Linked DNA regions of Rhinolophus ferrumequinum. The protein of the gene in region 1 interacts with the protein of each later gene in a biochemical or structural test. Links are inferred from orthologs where the notes say so. Each region holds a gene or a part of one and is shown in the gene's direction. Other genes may lie near its edges. The genes, in order: SEMA4D and CD72.

Region 1 (8,242 bases):
GGGGCTAAGGGAGTAGCTGGGGGAGGTGGGAAGGGAGTGACCTGTTCTAAGGGCAGCACCAGACCTGCACCCACGCAGGCTGGCCTCAGAGCCCACATCTGGTCAGCACACTTTGCTGCCTCCCCTGTTAGGGGGAGAATAAACACAAACTGAGTTAAAGCATCTAATTGACTTGAAAGAAGTATAGAAAGTGGTTGTGCTACATGACTTGATTGTGTTTTATAGCAGACAACGTGAACGTATGTACGCCCTTTCAAAAATAGCTCAACTAACTGGAAAAACTTAGAAGAAGATTGACTAAACATAAGTCATAGAAATTATGTAGGACGTCCCCTAGTAGAAGGAAGTGAACCTGTCAGTGATGAGTCAGAGGCCTGAGTCAGCTTCCTGCTCCCCGAGGTATGAAAGAACAGAGCCTTCTCACCGTCTCATGCTGTCCTCTGTGTGCCACCCAGACCCCTGCAAATAGGCTTTGTGTTCTAGGTAGAAAAGCTTCTCGGTCAGGTTTTGCTGGTGGTTAAAATCAGTCTTTAAAAATGAATTTGAAGTGGAAAATTGGCAATGATCTGAATTCCAACATTATCAGATATAATTGGAACATCGCATAGCCATGGAGTGATACTTGGGAGCCCTGAACTTACACGGGATGATGCCACATGAGGATATTCGCAGGGAACTCAGCACAGTTCACCCAGGGGTCCTGCCTTCCCCTCCTGCGGCCCACAGGTGACAGGTCCTCGCTTCCTTCTTGGACTTCCGGATCTCTGTTTCTGCTGCCCTGTGGCTACCAGCCTGCCTCTCCCACCCCCCGGGGCACTGTGGGGTCATTGCAGCCCCCTCCCCCAGGCCCTGTGCACTGGCACATTTCAGCACGAGCATGCGTGGCCCACCCTCCAGAAAGGGTCACGAGTGAACGCTCTCCTCTATTTCAGTTATTTAGAAGGAGGAGGTCTAACAGAATGTCAGAATGACTGGAAATGATGTTAAGTCTGTCTGCTGTTCTTAAAAACTTCCATTTTGATGAAATCCAGTTAGTAAACTTCAAAAAGGAATCGTATTTATTATTATTAATTAACAGTCAAGGTATTACAGCCTTTTTTTCAATTGTGAGAAATGTGTTTTATCTAGCCTTTTCTATATTTTCCAAATTTTTCACATTTAATATAACTTACTTTTAATACCAGGTTAAAAATATCTTAATTAGAACACCACATGCTTAAGATAAGCATTCAGATAGTACTAAAAACTACAAATACTGAAAAATGAAATACACTCCTACCCCAGACAAAGCCACTCTCGACTCGAGTCACTCACTGCCAGCAGGTCTTTGATTAAATTCTGGTATAATCAAGTAGTGCTTCTGATTAAACTACACACACACACACACACACACACACACACAAATGGTCATATACATGTGCCAACACAAATGGGAACATAGTATAACACTATTGAGAATCTTAATTTTTACTGAACTAAGTATCGGACATTCTTTCATTTCAGTGGCTGCTTTAATCTTTTAAACAGCTGCATAGTATTCCAACCTAGGGATGTGCCACAATTCCTATATAAATAAATATACATATATACAATATACGTATCTGTGTCTACACACACATGCACTCACATACACACAGAATTCTTCTAGGTGTTTCCAGTTTTCCTGTTGAATAGCCTTGTACTTGGGCATCTTGAGCATGTTGGGGTGTATCCACACTGGTCCCTGGCAGAGAACTGCCAGGTCCATCCTCACAGGTGTCGTTCAGTTGCCCAGTGCGTGCAAACTCCCCTGGCCCCTCATCACTGCACTTTATGACCAGCTGTCTCATGGCTGCCCCTCCCAGAGGTGGGATGGCGTCTGGCTATAATGTGCCAACCCCCCCAGACAGGACAGTGGGGTGGAGTACTCGTTGCTGTTGGCGGGCGGGGAGGGTTCTGGGCTGGGTGAGGAGGTTGAACAGACGGGGCTTGAGGCCTCCTACCCGTGCACAGTGGCCGTGATCGGGGCCTTGTGGTGCGGGCCCTGTGCCAGGGCGAGTGTGGCCGTGGGCCCGAGCTCCCTGTGGGCAGGAGGAGGCTGGGGGAGCCCTGGGACATTTTGCAGGAGGGGACTTAGATGTGTTAGCAGCCAAATCCTGCTTTTCGATCCTAGGGAGTCTTCTTATCAAGGGTTCCCAGGTAGGAAGGCTCATCACTGAGATTTACGCGGGGCTTCCTAGGCGCCACACGCTGCCTTAAGCTCTTCATGTGGTCACTCATGGAGCCTCATAATAACCAAGTGAGGTAGGCACTCTGATCAGGCCCACTTTCTGGATAAGGAAACAGGCACAGAGAGGCCCAGAAACTTCCCCACGGACACACAGCTGGTAAGTGTAGGTGCCAGGCCTAGAGCCCAGATCACTCTTCATACTCTCACCCATCCCACCTGTGTCTTCTCCACCTGCTAAAGAGGTCACCTGGCTGGTACCAGGGTGAGAGACTTTTGGAACGAGGGGTCACAGCTGCAGATCGTGGGCAAGATGCACGGGAGGCAGAGGCCCATCTCACCATGGCCTTTGGCTGTTGTCATGAGTGGCAGACGGACCGTCAGACATGGCAGTTGGGTCTCCCATGCTCTCCTGCACTACATGGGGACAGGTTGGGGGCAAAGGCCAAGTTTCCTGGGAAATAATTCTCTCCCTGATTAATTTCATTCCTTTTTTTTATAGTTGAACCCTTGCATTCTTTCAGGGGCAGTACAAGAAGTTAGGAGATGCCTAGTTAAAACCATATCGTTAGTAATTGTGTGAGGAATTTGTATTTTGCATGCTTCAGTGTCGTGATAACTAATTATAGCTTGGAGGTTTTTACCTTGAGAGAGAAGAAAAAATTGCCATGATGAAGGGTACAGACAACCGGGGACTTGGGCCTCTGTGGTTGATTGAGGCCGGAAGTGTGTATTTTCACCCAGAAACCACAGGCTAAAAGATGTTTGGCGGAGGTGACAGATGGAGACTTGGCTTGGAGGAGAAAACGAGTGTGCTGGGTCCCAGTGCACTGGGTGAGGTTATTAAGAATACACACACACGCAGAACCCTAACCTGCCGTCATGTGTGTGTGCAGTACCAGGAATTTAAGGTGAATAAATAGGATGTGTGCTTGTCCAAGCACAGAACAAGCAGCTCTGGGCTTTCATTTATTGAAGTGACAAAGGCTTACTGAATTTCGGAAAGGGAGTTTTTCGGTTATAATTTTCAGTATTCTTATTGTTTCTTATAAGAGGTTTAGATAAAACCTCTTATTTGTGTGTGAATCACTCTTTTTCCCATAAGTATTTTCTCCAGTCTCCAGATGGCTGTTTTGCCCCCTCACCGCCACCTGTGTGACAGGAAAATCCCACAGTTCGTTAGGCTTGCACATCGCCTGTTAATCGGCTGAGCCAAAATCTCCCCCAGCATTAAAATAGAAGACATTGGTTCCATGTCCTGCGTGGATATGGCCTCTCCAGGACACTTCCTGCTTGCTCAGATGTGAAGTTAATTTTGCTTACACATTGGCTGTCAGACGCAGAACCAGTCCTTGGAAGCCCAGCCACAGTGCAGCCTGATGCATCCTAAGCATTTCTGCCTGTTACTTTGGCGTCTCATTTGCTAACTCAAGGTGTTTGCTCAGGATTCAGGGGACATGTCAGGCCCTGAGGGGCCCCCGGTGACCCTGGAAATCATGTGCTGTGAGTGGCCGTTGAACGGTGGGTGCAAGCTGGGTTCCGTGCTGCGGGCGCGACCCCACCGCTCGGGCTGTGTGTGGGGGAAAATGGGCCATTAGCTGTGTTCCCGCGGAGCCCATGCTACTTCTTAGCTGTCTTCAGAGAAATGGCAAGAATTGTGTAAGCTCTTAAAGCAAAAGAAAGGAATACCCCCGCCACAGAAGATGCTCAAGTTTGATTCTGAGGTGTAAAGACTGTGTTGGATCATTCGCAGCCATCGAGGAGTCAAGCTCAGTTGAACCCACTGCTAATCCTGCAAGAATCTTCATGGTGGCCTCTGGCTTCACCACTCAGATTCTCTTTGTTGAACGGTTTGTGATCTCGCTGGACTCCAGGATCTCTGTTTTGAGCGCTCCCTCCTGTACTGTGAAGGAGTAACAAACACATCACAGAAACTTGCTACACCACTGTGGAAATTCTCTGTTTGGCTTAAAAACAACAATCAAAAGGAAAGAAAAATGGGAATGTTAAACAGGTTCTTCAGGAAGTCATTTCTTGTAGATATTTTGTATGTATCTCTGCTTTTTCTTTCATTGCCTCACACCTTTGGTGTTCAAGGAAGAGGAGTTCCAAAGGATACACATCTGAGAATCCCATAATCCTTTTTTGATCAGTGACCATGACCGTGGCTTGAATTTAAGTGGCTTATTTTGCGGGGGAAGTAGTGGCTGTCAGTAGCTGGGATCAGCTCCTGCCTCTGGGTGACTGGCCAAGTTGCATTTCCTTTGTTTATGGGTGAGCGATCTCACACTCACTCCCTTGTCGCATTTGCACAAGTGCATGAATGCCACGCTAACCCTGGGTCAGAGAGTCAGCGACCAGAGGATCCAGAAGTTAAATTCTTCCTAGAAGCAATTGGGGAGTTTCAAGAGGCACAAGATACTGGTAAAATCACTTTTTTTTCCCTCCATCTATATCCCAGTTTAGCAAACTTGACACCTTATGGAAGCCCCAGTGGGATTCAGCAGTTTGGTTGTTGGACCCTGCGTGCTCTTGGGGTCAAAGATGTGGACTTCACCGCCGTCCCTAGGGGTGGCCTGAGGGGGAGCCCACAGGGCAGTGGGTGCGGCAAGTGTCGCCTGTTTTTTCTTCCTCCCTCCCATTGCCTTTTCCCCCCCTGGGCTGCTTCCCTGCTCGCTTTGGACGGATGGCCCCTACCTAGTCTGAGCGTTGAAACGCTCCATCTTCTCTTTGGCAGGACGGTGAGGTCCGATTTCAAAGGAGAGCTCTCAGTGTCGTCGCGCCCTGGATTTGGGTGGTTTTGTGATTCATCTTAATTTTGACCAGTTAGTACATGGTCGCCCATGTATTTCCAGTTGTAGAGGAAAGGGAAATGCCAGTTTAATTTGTAAAAACAAAAGGAAAGCTCTCCTCTCCCCTTCGTCCATTTCTGTGACTCACCTGTTGTGAATGGGCCTAGCAAAGGTGTCGCTCTGCTTGTCTCAGCAGTCCTGCCACCAGCAAGGTCTTAGGGGCTAGTTTGTGCCAGTGGGTGGGCACTGGTAATGATGCAGCTCACCTCGGGGACACTTGGCATTGCATTTATTGGCTGGTTACGGACACGCATACGAGTACATTTCCTGAACAGCCTTGTCTGCTGGGCCAGGCTCGGTGGTTTCTCGCTAGTGTGTTAGGTTGCTGCATTAAGAATTGCAAGCCCAGGCATTTATGTTACAAGGATTTTTTTCCCTAGCTTTTTATCCCCTAGATCATTTGTCTTTGGATTTTGATTGCTGAGCCCTTTAACTTACAGGGCTGATGGGGTCCCCGCTGCCCCTGCACCCACCTTGCTTATGCCCTTCTGAATGCCTGCCAGTTGTCACTGCTGGTTGATTGGCTGGTATGTGTGTTCCTCACCCCGCTGCCCTCCCCTTTCCAGCTCCCGTAAGCATGCGCATGGCACACACGTGCTGGGCTTTGCATAAGGGAACGAGGTTAAGGCGTGTCAGACATCCTGACTGGCTTGTGTGCCCCTGCAACGTTCATTGCTGGAGGTGAAAGCAGGCATCCTGGGACAGTGTCCTGGATGCTTTTCTGTGGGGTGGGTCCAGCTGGACCCAGCTCCAGGGCTCAGCTTGTCCCTGTGCAGCTGGAATGCTGCTGCCGGATGCTCTGCTCTAAGTTCTGGGGAAACTGAAGTTGAAACAATGAACTCTTTGTTGGGCATGTGACACAGAGAGCTCCTGAAATCAATCCTGATTCCTGGGGGACAAGGCCATTTCTGTGAGGTGGTGACATCAGCACCATAGCCAGGGTCTGGGGAGGAGACCAGGCGTAGGGGACGGGACATGAGGTGGGGGAGGGGAGCCTGGGGATGTAGGGGGCAGGCCTGGGGGTAACATCGGCAGGACATGTCTTGGGGTGGCTGCCTCTCTCTGCTCCCGCTGGGAGGGGAGGGTGTGAGGAGGTGCAAGGCCTCCGTTGTACCGGCCACAGGGCCTGGATGGGGAGCAGGGCTTCACCCGTGCTGTCTGGACAAACACTGTAGACAAGAAGCCAGAGCAGATTGCCTCAGCAGTCGTCCACAGCTGTCACCCAGGATCCCCTTTCACAGGTTCCCTGGGGATCCCAGTGAGGGCACTTTTAATGTTGGCTATCAGCCTGTTGCTGATGGGAGCACTGACACCTGATGTGTGGTAGTGAGTGGCGTCCCCTCTGTGACCCACCCCTACTGCCTCAGATAGCTGGTCCCAAGAAGGGAAGCCAAGGCGTGACGTGGGTATGACAGACCTCATAGCACCTGTGGCCCACGGTGCCTGCCTTACTGCACCCCAGCTGGCAGTCACCATTCACATCTAAGAATGCAACACCAGATCAGAATTTTTGTGCTGCAGCAGAGTGTGGCCATACCACACGCCCATGTGCACATACCTGTATGCACACATGCAAACACATGCTCAGGGATGTATACATACATGAATGCACACACATGCATGCAAGTATGGATGCTTATACATACACGTATCACACTTATACAGATGTACGCAAATGCACGTATACATATGCACAGAAACTCCGATGCACACAGGTGCACGCATAACATGCATGCCCAGACGTGTGTGTGCGTGCTGACATGCAGATGTGTGTGCATACAGACATTTGTGCACACAGTGTTGTGAACTAGCTCTTACCCTTACAGTTTGCTGGGTGTGCCTGTTTTCTCTGCCGCAACCCTCCGGCTTGGTTCAAGGCCCCTGGGGTGGAAAGCTGCCATGTGACAGGCACTGACAAGCCCTGAGTGATGGGCTCAGAGACCCCTCTGGGTTCTCTTCTCCTGTTATTTAAAGTGGGATCATGCACTGCTCACAAACCAGCACAATTCCTCATAGGTAATGGGAGTGACATGTGTGACCCTGTCATCCTAATGGGCCTCTGTCTCAGGGTGAAAGGCAGCACTTTGCACAGGGAAGTGAAGGGCTGCTCCTGACGGCTCCCAGCAAGCTGCCTGAGAAATGCCCCGCAAAGCCAGCAGATAGGCACTGCATTCTCTTGTTTCCATTTGAATGTGTCTGGTGATTCCTGATGGGACACCCCGCAAACATCATGGAGGCAGTGTTGCTGGAGGAGAGCACGGTGGCAGCGTGTGCGTGTGGGTGTGGGGTGTGCTTTGCTTAGCAGTTTTTAGATTATATTAAAGAATGCATGCTTGGCAGAAAAGTAAAAGCATCTACCCCTTCCAATGTCATAAAGCAATGTCCTCTGCATGGAGGGGTGTCTGTGTGGCAGGGACCCTCCTGCCTTTGGCTGTCCATGTGCATTTTTTTTAAAGACCATTTGGGAACGAGAGGCAGGGTCCGATTCGGGCCGTCAAGAATCTGGTGTCTGCTGATGAGATAAATACAGCTCAGAGCTGGATAAAATCTGTGTGTGCTGGGGCACCCACGTGCTTCTGCAGAAAGAACTTCTCTGTCCTCCGGTCCCGCTGGCAGGGCTGCCCGGAAATGGCCGAAAGTGACAGCCACCGGCTCCTGAATAGCAGTGTCGGGTTTGGTCCAGGCTAAAGGCAATTAAAAAATGTCTTCTCTTCTCACCTAAATCAGTTTGAGCAGCCTGCGTGTACAGAGGGAGACGCAGGCCTCCACCCAGCGTCTGCTATTGAGTTTGTCAGGCAGCTCCGCCTGTGTGGGAGCTGCGGGGGAGAACGCCTTTATGAGGCCCGTTCTCAACTTCTGTTCATTCTGGGGACTTTGTTCATGAGACTTTCTGCCACCGGGGACTCAGCTTGGTTCTCTCGAGCTCTAGCCAGGGTCTTCTAACTGGGATGTTTGCGTTCCCCCGGTTCTGCCCTGCCCCGGAAGGGACCACATCGTTGAGACGTTTTCCTTGGGACATCCTCAAGTCCTTAGTGTGCTATGAAGGAAATAAAGCAGGAGGGGGCGTGGAGGTGGGGGTGGAGCAGCCTGTGAGGAGGTGGTCTTGGTCGGTGGGAAGGAGCCAGCCCCTGGGAGCTCCTGGGGATAGAACATTCTGGAAGAGGGAGCAGCATGTGCAAAGGTC
Region 2 (7,852 bases), about 47 Mb from region 1:
TTTAGGCTTGAAATGTTTCAAAATAAAATTCTGGTGGGGGGGAGAAAAATAGGTACAAAGGATCTAACATTAATAGAAGAGCAAATCCAACTAGCTAACAATCATGAAAATATGTTCAAATTCACAGGGACAGGCAATTTAAAGTAAGAGCGAGGTACCATTTTACATCCTTGGTGGCAAACGGGCTCAAAACCATTGGAAAACTCTGAAAGCTAGTGTAGCATGTGTCCTCAGAGTTACCCACCCCCAGGGCCGAGGTTGCTTGTGTGTGTATACCAGTTCCCACCAGTCACTGGTTGAGCTGCTCTGCGGAGAGGCCACTTTAACCGGCCATATGTTGGGGCAGAGCCACTTGCCAAAGAAAAGCTGCAGGCAAAGACACTGGCAGTTGGAAGCCAGGCTGATGTGCACCAAGTGGTAAGGCCTGAGAGGACAGGGATGGCTGAGGCACTGTCTGCTCGTGCGTTGCTCAGATCTACTCATGTCCCTCATTAAGTTCAGCCTGTCACTGCTTCTTAAAATAAGAAAGAGGAAGAGGAATAAAAAAGTAGACCAGGAGGGTTAGTGGGACAAGCTACAATCCCCACTGCTGTGGTTGGTTCTAAGGCTGCAACTGAGATACTGCATTTCCTCCTCTACCATTCCCTTACTCTCAAGCAGCACTAGATGCTGGTCTGGATGGCTGCCTGGTGGGTAACACAGACAGATCTTCATTTCCAAGGAGGCTGAGCCCCGATTACTGAGCCCTTTTCCGGTTGTGGTGGCTGCAGTTGCCCATTCGTGGATAGTTTATCACTGGGCACAGAGCACCAAGAGGCCCCATGAATCCCTTGGGCACACAGATACCTGCCACCTGCTCCTATTATGTAGCAGCAACGTTATCTCCTCATGAAAATCAGGTTTGATGACCCCTGCCAGGATAATCACTCCACTCCACGTGTGTGAGATGGGAGCAGCCAGGCACAATCGCTAAGGATGGAGGACTCTACCATGTGGACCGACGTAGACTCTTTGCAACCTTTTACCTCAGCTCCCACTGCTAACGGAGTGGTCATCTCCATATTTTTCCATTTAAATTCCTGAGAATGAAAAATAGATTGTCCCTGATTTCCAGGCCAAGCCACCCCATAGACCACAGCTTTGAGTCAGATGCCCAGTCAGCTAAGGTCAGAGGAGTTGGTGGTCACATAGCACAATTTTTGGCGTCTAGGGCTGCCTCATCAGCGGGGTTCGCTCCCCTCAAACGCGACCGTCCTTGTGGCTGGCACAGTGTTGACATCTGGTAAAGGAGATGTAGTCCTAAGGGATAGAATTTCACAAGCCCTCCTTGTGAACTAAGCGGTTCGTTCACAATTAGTAGCTTACAGCCTACTGAATCATTTCCTAATTTGTACAATAAGTGGATTGGGCTCGCTAAGATCCCTTCGAGCTCCAAAATGCCTGATAACTGCCCCTCCCCTCAAACCTTTGTACATAAACTATTGTTAAGCCAGACTCCCTCCATTACATGCTTCTGTAATTTGTTGTTTGAACTCAAAATTTCATTTTTCAATAAATGCTAGCTGTTATTATGTATCTGTATTACATTTCATTCTGTGGTTTGGAGCCGTCATTTTGCCCTTCCTCAGTGTTTGACTCCTGAATTTCCCTTTCGGTATATTTGCTTTTCCTTATAGTTCTGTGCCAACAGCATCTATGAATGTGTTTTCTGTGTCACTCTCCAAGACAGGACCAAGGAGGGGCCTGGGGCAAGTCACTGGAGACCTACTCTTTGGCTTCAGTGATCAGAGCTGCAAATCCCCTTTAGTGCTGTAAGACGGCTCACAGTTCTCCCTCCTGACTCTGAAGCTATGAACAGACTTTGAAAGATGCTTTTGCTAAAATCCCTACTATGTCTCCAGCAATCACATCCTTGATTGATGTCAGACATTCTCTAAACCATCCTATATTTTAAATAGGAAATTGTGACTTTTCCACATTCTGTGGCAGGGCTGACTTCTTTATTCATAATATCATGTTCTTTCCATTACATCATGCTTCTTCCACAGTTCGGGAAACTCATCTATTGCTGCTGTAACACATGACTAGAAATTCAGTGGCTTAAAAAACACAAATTTCTCATCTTCCAGTTCTGTGGGTCAGAAGTCTGACACAGGTCTCGCTGGACTAACATCAAGGTGTCAGCAGGGCTTGTTCCTTTCTGGAGGCTCTCGGGGAGAATCCATTTATATCAGGTGGCCTCTAGAGAAGCCTTTTCTAGCTTTAAGAAGATACCTGCATTCCTTGGCTCTTCACCTTCAAAGCCAGCAACTGGGGTGGAGTCCTTCTCATGTTGCATCTCTCTGCCCCCGCCCCCCATGGTTGAGTCTCTTTCTTTCCATGATCCTGAAAGCTTCTCCTTTCAAGGACTTGTGTGATTAGATTGGGCCTACCAGAGTAAAACAGGATGATCTCCCCATCTAAAGGTCCTTCACTTAATCACATTTACATTTTTGTCAGGTAAATTAACATATTCACGGGTTCTGGGGATTAGAGTGTGAACATTCTGGGGAGGCCATTATTCTGCCTACCATGCCCTATCCATAGATTTGGGCCCCCTGGAGCCAGTGGGTTACCTTAACGAAGCCAGATATAACCTGACTTTCAGGGTCTCAGGAGACTTCCTTGACTTCCTGATGTTGGCTGGACTTCACCACAGTTTATCCAGGTGAGCCCCTTTCCACACAGCCAATTCTGTTTTGGATGCCCTCAGAGTTGGGCTCCCTCCTCTTGTCACCTTAACAACCTATTCCCTGCAATAAACAGCGGAGGTCAGGAGAAGGCAAGCACTGGGCTTTGGTATTTGTCCTCTGGGACCACAGGTGATATTACGGTCCTGGAAAAGCTGCACAGCATTGCCCCTCAGCTCTTAAAGGCCGCAGGTGTTCCTGACATTTGGGCAGGTAAGAGTTCGCAGTTACAGGTGTCCTTCCTGATGTTCAGTTTTGAAAGATAATATGAGTGTCAATATTTCAGACTCCATGTGACACACATGGGGAAGAAGGACCCTGCTCTCATACCTATTAGTAAAGGAAGGCCACAAGACAGTTTAGGATGGAAGGAAATGCGGACTGCCACAGGAGATGTGTAACCTTACGACAGTCCGCATTTCCAGTCTGCCAAAAGAGCGGAAGAGGAGAGGAATACGGGCCAAGCCTGCCTAAGACAGGCCACGGTGGGTGCGCAGTTTGGTTCATCCCAGTTCCCTCCCTCTGAAGCCTCTCCAAGAGTCAAGTTAGGCAGCATGCCCACTGATTCTTTGTTGAGCACATACTAGAAACTGGCTTTTGGCATTTTACCTGGCATCCAAACCACGTTCACTTGTGTTTTGTTCTGAAAACCGGGACATTATCTACAGTTTATAGCATTCCTACAAGTCTTCCTGCAACTGATTTACACACACTCTGCCCTCTATACCACAGACACAAGTACCCCGACTGCCCCCACTCACCCCTGCCACAGCTGTGCTGCACACTCCCACTCACTTTCACAGGCCTGAGGTCCCCAGGGAGTCACCAACACACAGCACTGCCTGTTATCTGGGGGAGGCCCTGACCAGGTGCCTGGGGGAGGGGACTGGGTTGTTGGAAACTTTAATCAAGCAGAGACGGTTAACAGCTGCAGGGACACCTTAGGAAACACGGAGCCTCACAAAGGAAATAGTTGTAGAATCCGTCCCCACGACTTTTCAAGACTTTTCTGAAAATCGCCTGTCATTCCCTGCTGTGGAAAAAAATAACCGCTATCACAGGCACACTTCAGCCCACTGAATCCTTTGTGCTTAATCCCCTGGAGCAGGCTTTGACATAACACGCTCATCTCCCACAGACACCCCCAAGAGACCGCAAAGACCTGGGGATGCACAGACACACACACCCCTGCCTCTCCCTGAGACAAGTCCTTAGATAACAAATGCACTTTTTCTGGGGCAGGCTGGGTGACACTGTTGGGGAGAGCTCCCCACAGACCCGTGGGCCCATCACAGCGCTCCTCCACACACCACTAATCAAATATTACAAGCTGTTAGCATGTGGTGAGGACCTCTTCCCCTTCCTTCCCCTCCCCGCAGCTGCAGGGGATGATTTTGAGGGGGCGGATGTCACCCATTGGGGGTGGGTTTTTCCTACCTCCATACCTTGTCTTGACCCAGCTTCTTCCCACCCCCAGAAGTAGGCCGTTTTGAGGTCACATCCTGGTAAAAGAACATCAGGGAACACCTCTGAACCACTGCTCAGCAGGCCCCTCCTGCCTCCCCTGGTCTCCCTCTCTTCCATCATCCAGGCTTTCATCAGCGATGAGGGCCTCTCAGTCCCTGGTTTTCCCCCATAAATTCCCCTTTCCTCAGGGCTGGGTGTAAAGGGACGTTGAGATTTTTTTTAAGGAAGTACTTTACTGGAAAGTAAGAAAGAAACAAAAACCAAACCAAGAAAATGTCAAAACCTCAGCTGATCCGGAGTTTGTACTCATAGCAGCCAGCCCTGCTTCATTTCTTTGCCTCCCCTCATCTAAGAAGCTAAGCACTTCTTCATTCCTATACCACTCCTCCGCTTGCCTGCTCTCTGACCCCACCCCCAACACCAAAGGGCTCATGAGCAGTTAGTGCTGCAGGCTTTTCCAGAGATGCACAAGCTGGGGTTGCCCTCATCCTCACCCCCAGCCCAGACCTATCCCAGAGCCTCTGCCTCCTGGACTCAGCTTGCTGGATCCAGCTCAGATGTTGGCACTCAGCTGATGCCATGAGTCCAGCAGGGGGCAGGATGGGACCAGGAAGGGGCTGACTGGCCACAGGTGTGCTGGGTAGGGCAACAAAGGTGGAAGAGGCCAGGGAAAGGCTGTGAAGAGACGTCTGGGGCGTTTGCAGAGAAGAAGCAGTGTGGTCCCAGATCCTCTGCACCCTCCAAAGGCTGCGATTCCCGGGAAGAGCTTCGGTGTGAGACCCTCCCTGTGTGTGGGATCCTCAGTAGCTCTGTGGGACTACAGCAGGAGGGGAGCTGGCTTCACTCTAAAAGCTCCCAAACTGATGGGGAGATGAGCCCACAAAATCAGGGACCCTTTTCTGGGAATGCATACCTGCTGGGAACCCCAGGATGATGAGGAGCTAGGGCTCCATACTAGAACCCCCCAATCTGATGGGGAGGATGAAGCCCCACCCTAGAGCAATGATTGGGGGGATCCTCTGGGATCAGCTGGGCACAAAAGAGCTCTGACTACACAGAGAAAGCCTGTGGACAAGGTAGCCAGGAGAGGAGCCATGGGGCCAATCAGGGCAGATGATCAGGAGGATGGGTATTTGGAGGCGACACTGCCAAAGTGGGTCTGGGGTACATGAAGGTGGAGCACAGGCAGGACACAGGGACAGACCTGAGTAGTAGTCCTGTGACCTGCCCCCCCCAGTCCTGACCCCCATGCTCTGAACCTCAGTTTCTCCTCCCCTGACGCTCTGGCCAGTGCTCAAGGATATGATCCACTTCACTGAACCCATCTGTCTGAGATTTGCTCACACCTTCCTCTTTTGTGACTGGAAGTCACAGGGCAAAGCCGTAAGCTGTACATTCACAGAGGGAACACAGCCTAAGAGTGTGCAAGGACAGAGGGGAAAGTGGCAAGGGAAGCTTGGTGCCAGTGGAAGAGGGGGACACGGGTGGGGCAGAGGTGCCCAGGACCATGGCTGAGGCTGTCACCTATGCAGACCTGCGGTTTGTGAAGGCTCCCCTGAAGAAGAGCATCTCCAGCCAGTTAGGACAGGGTAAGGGGTGGCTGAGTATCTCCTTGATTCTGCATCCCCATCCCCTTCATGACCCCACCCCACCCCACAGACTCTCATTCCTGACCCCCATCTTGGTCCCTTTTTTCTCTTCTCCAGACCCAGAGGCTGATGATGATGGGGAACTCACCTATGAGAATGTACAAGTGCCCTCAGTCTCCGGGGGGCCCTTGAGCTTGGCTTCCTCTGGACTAGGGGACAAAACCGGTATGAAGAGCCCACGGATGTGTGTTTGTGTAGGGGGTGTATCTTGAGCTGGGGAGTCCGCAGTATTCTTGGGAGGACAATACCCTTGGGAAAAGGTGGGGGTTCTTAGGAAAGGTTAGAATGAGCACCGGATAAATGGCAGTCAGGGGAAGAACAAGGCTCCCAGATCGCAGCGGGGATCGGGGAGAGATCAGGACAGCGCCGTGGGGAGACGAATTCGAATGGGAACTAGGAAGTCACACGACGGGTAAGAGAGGGTAGGGGAGAGGGATGAGAGAGCTCCCAAGAGCGGGTTTGGCACAAGCAGAGAGGGACCCTGCGGAAAACATAAAGGGAGACCCAAAAGGGCGAGGAGTGGGTCCCTGGGGAACAGATAGGTATAAGGTCCAGGAGGGACACGAGAGAGTCCCGGGGGAGCTGGGGAACTCCACGGAGTGCAAAGGGCGACCCGGAGCAGTTGCAGAAGGCAACGGGGGACACTGGAGTCTCAACGAGGTGGAGGGGGTGTGAGGGGTGGGAAAAGGGGCATTTCCCGGGGCTTCCCATCTGCTCATTGGACTTCGCTCGCCTTGCGCAGGAGTCCAGTCGGAGCTGCCAACAGCGTCCTGGAGCTCCGTGACGTCACCCGCTGCCAGGAGGCTTCTGGAGTGTGAGTACCGCGCCCTCCCGGCCGCGCGCGCCGCCGGCGGCGGGGCTCGCGCGCGACCGCGGCCTCACTCCCCTTGCCGACCCCGCAAGGACCGCGGGGGTGGGCGCGAAGTGCTGTGCTGGTGCGGGGTCGGGCGCGGGTGGTACTGGGTCCTGCTGTGTGCAGGTCTGTTCCCGGGCGCAGTCCCCCGGACCGCCTGGGCAGCTCCACGACACCCCCCTGCCCCTTTCACCCCCATCTTTCTGATGTGTCGACCCAGATCCTCCCCTCTTCTCCCCCCTTACGATGGGCCCCATTCGTATACCCTCTGCGGCTGTCTCGGTCTGAGGTTTGGTGCCTCCTCCGACCCGGTAGTGCACAGTCACACTCTTTACAGTCACAGGCCCCAGCCCTTATTCTGGAACGCCTTCCCTCCGCTACCTGTGGAAACTCACTGCCCCACAAAAACCAGGTCTGCACCACGTCCTCTGAGGGAGGCTCTTTCCCGTGAATCTCCCCACCCACCCCTCAGTCTATAAACTCTTTCCTGGGGCTCACTGCCCCCCATCCCATTGTCTCCCTAAGGCGGTTCAGCCTGCTCCAAATACCTGCTTCTCGGCCTGCTCCTCACCTGCCTGCTGTTAGGGATGGCTGCCATTTCCCTGGGAGTGCGCTGTGAGTATGGCTGCCCTCCCCCACCCATTTCCCACTTACCCCAAACAACTTTCTCCCCTCCTCTCCCCAATAGCTGCGCTTCCTCAGCAGGGGCTGGAGTCACCAGCCAGGTTTGTTTTAGAGCATTATGTCTTCATCGTCCTTACGTGATTCAGTACCTCCTTAAGCTTTAGGCCGATCTTCTATTTCAGCCTGCCATGCAAAACGTTGCAAGAAGCAAAAAGGGCTGACACTGAAGTCTCGGGGCACCAGGGCACAGCTGAAGATGATGCCCTCCAAATCTCTCTTTATGGCCAAACAGATCTGCAGGTGTCCCAGCAGCTCCAGCACGTGAACAGGGTTCTGGAAGCTACTAACAGCAGCATGAGGCAGCAGCTCCACCAAAGGACCGCCCAGATGAGGCAGAGGGAACAGGATCTGCAGGCGACCAGAAGGGAGCTGGCCCAGAGTCAGGAGACACTACAGGCGGAACGGAGGGATTGCCAGGCTGTCAAAGAGAAGTTACAGGCCTGCGAGTCTGAGAGGGAGAAGACCAAGGA

What was found.
Region 2: the proteins of SEMA4D (region 1) and CD72 form a complex in vitro, tested with the Homo sapiens proteins (2 studies listed by BioGRID and IntAct). The link is inferred for Rhinolophus ferrumequinum from reciprocal best matches to the Homo sapiens genes SEMA4D and CD72.

The regions. Positions count from the first base shown.
Region 1 is NC_046295.1:4,543,963-4,552,204, forward strand, and holds the start of SEMA4D (semaphorin-4D), read left to right. Parts: upstream 1-4,575; 5' UTR 4,576-4,630; intron 4,631-8,242. UniProt on the Homo sapiens protein: Cell surface receptor for PLXNB1 and PLXNB2 that plays an important role in cell-cell signaling. Regulates GABAergic synapse development. Promotes the development of inhibitory synapses in a PLXNB1-dependent manner.
Region 2 is NC_046295.1:51,821,790-51,829,641, reverse strand, and holds the start of CD72 (B-cell differentiation antigen CD72), read left to right. Parts: upstream 1-4,517; 5' UTR 4,518-5,703; coding exon 5,704-5,785; intron 5,786-5,902; coding exon 5,903-6,010; intron 6,011-6,028; exon of another isoform or gene 6,029-6,145; coding exon of another isoform or gene 6,146-6,257; intron 6,258-6,587; coding exon 6,588-6,659; intron 6,660-7,223; coding exon 7,224-7,313; intron 7,314-7,614; coding exon 7,615-7,852. UniProt on the Homo sapiens protein: Co-receptor of B cell receptor (BCR) that plays both positive and negative roles on B-cell functions. Recognizes the Sm/ribonucleoprotein (RNP) self-antigen ligand, and coligation of CD72 and BCR inhibits BCR signaling.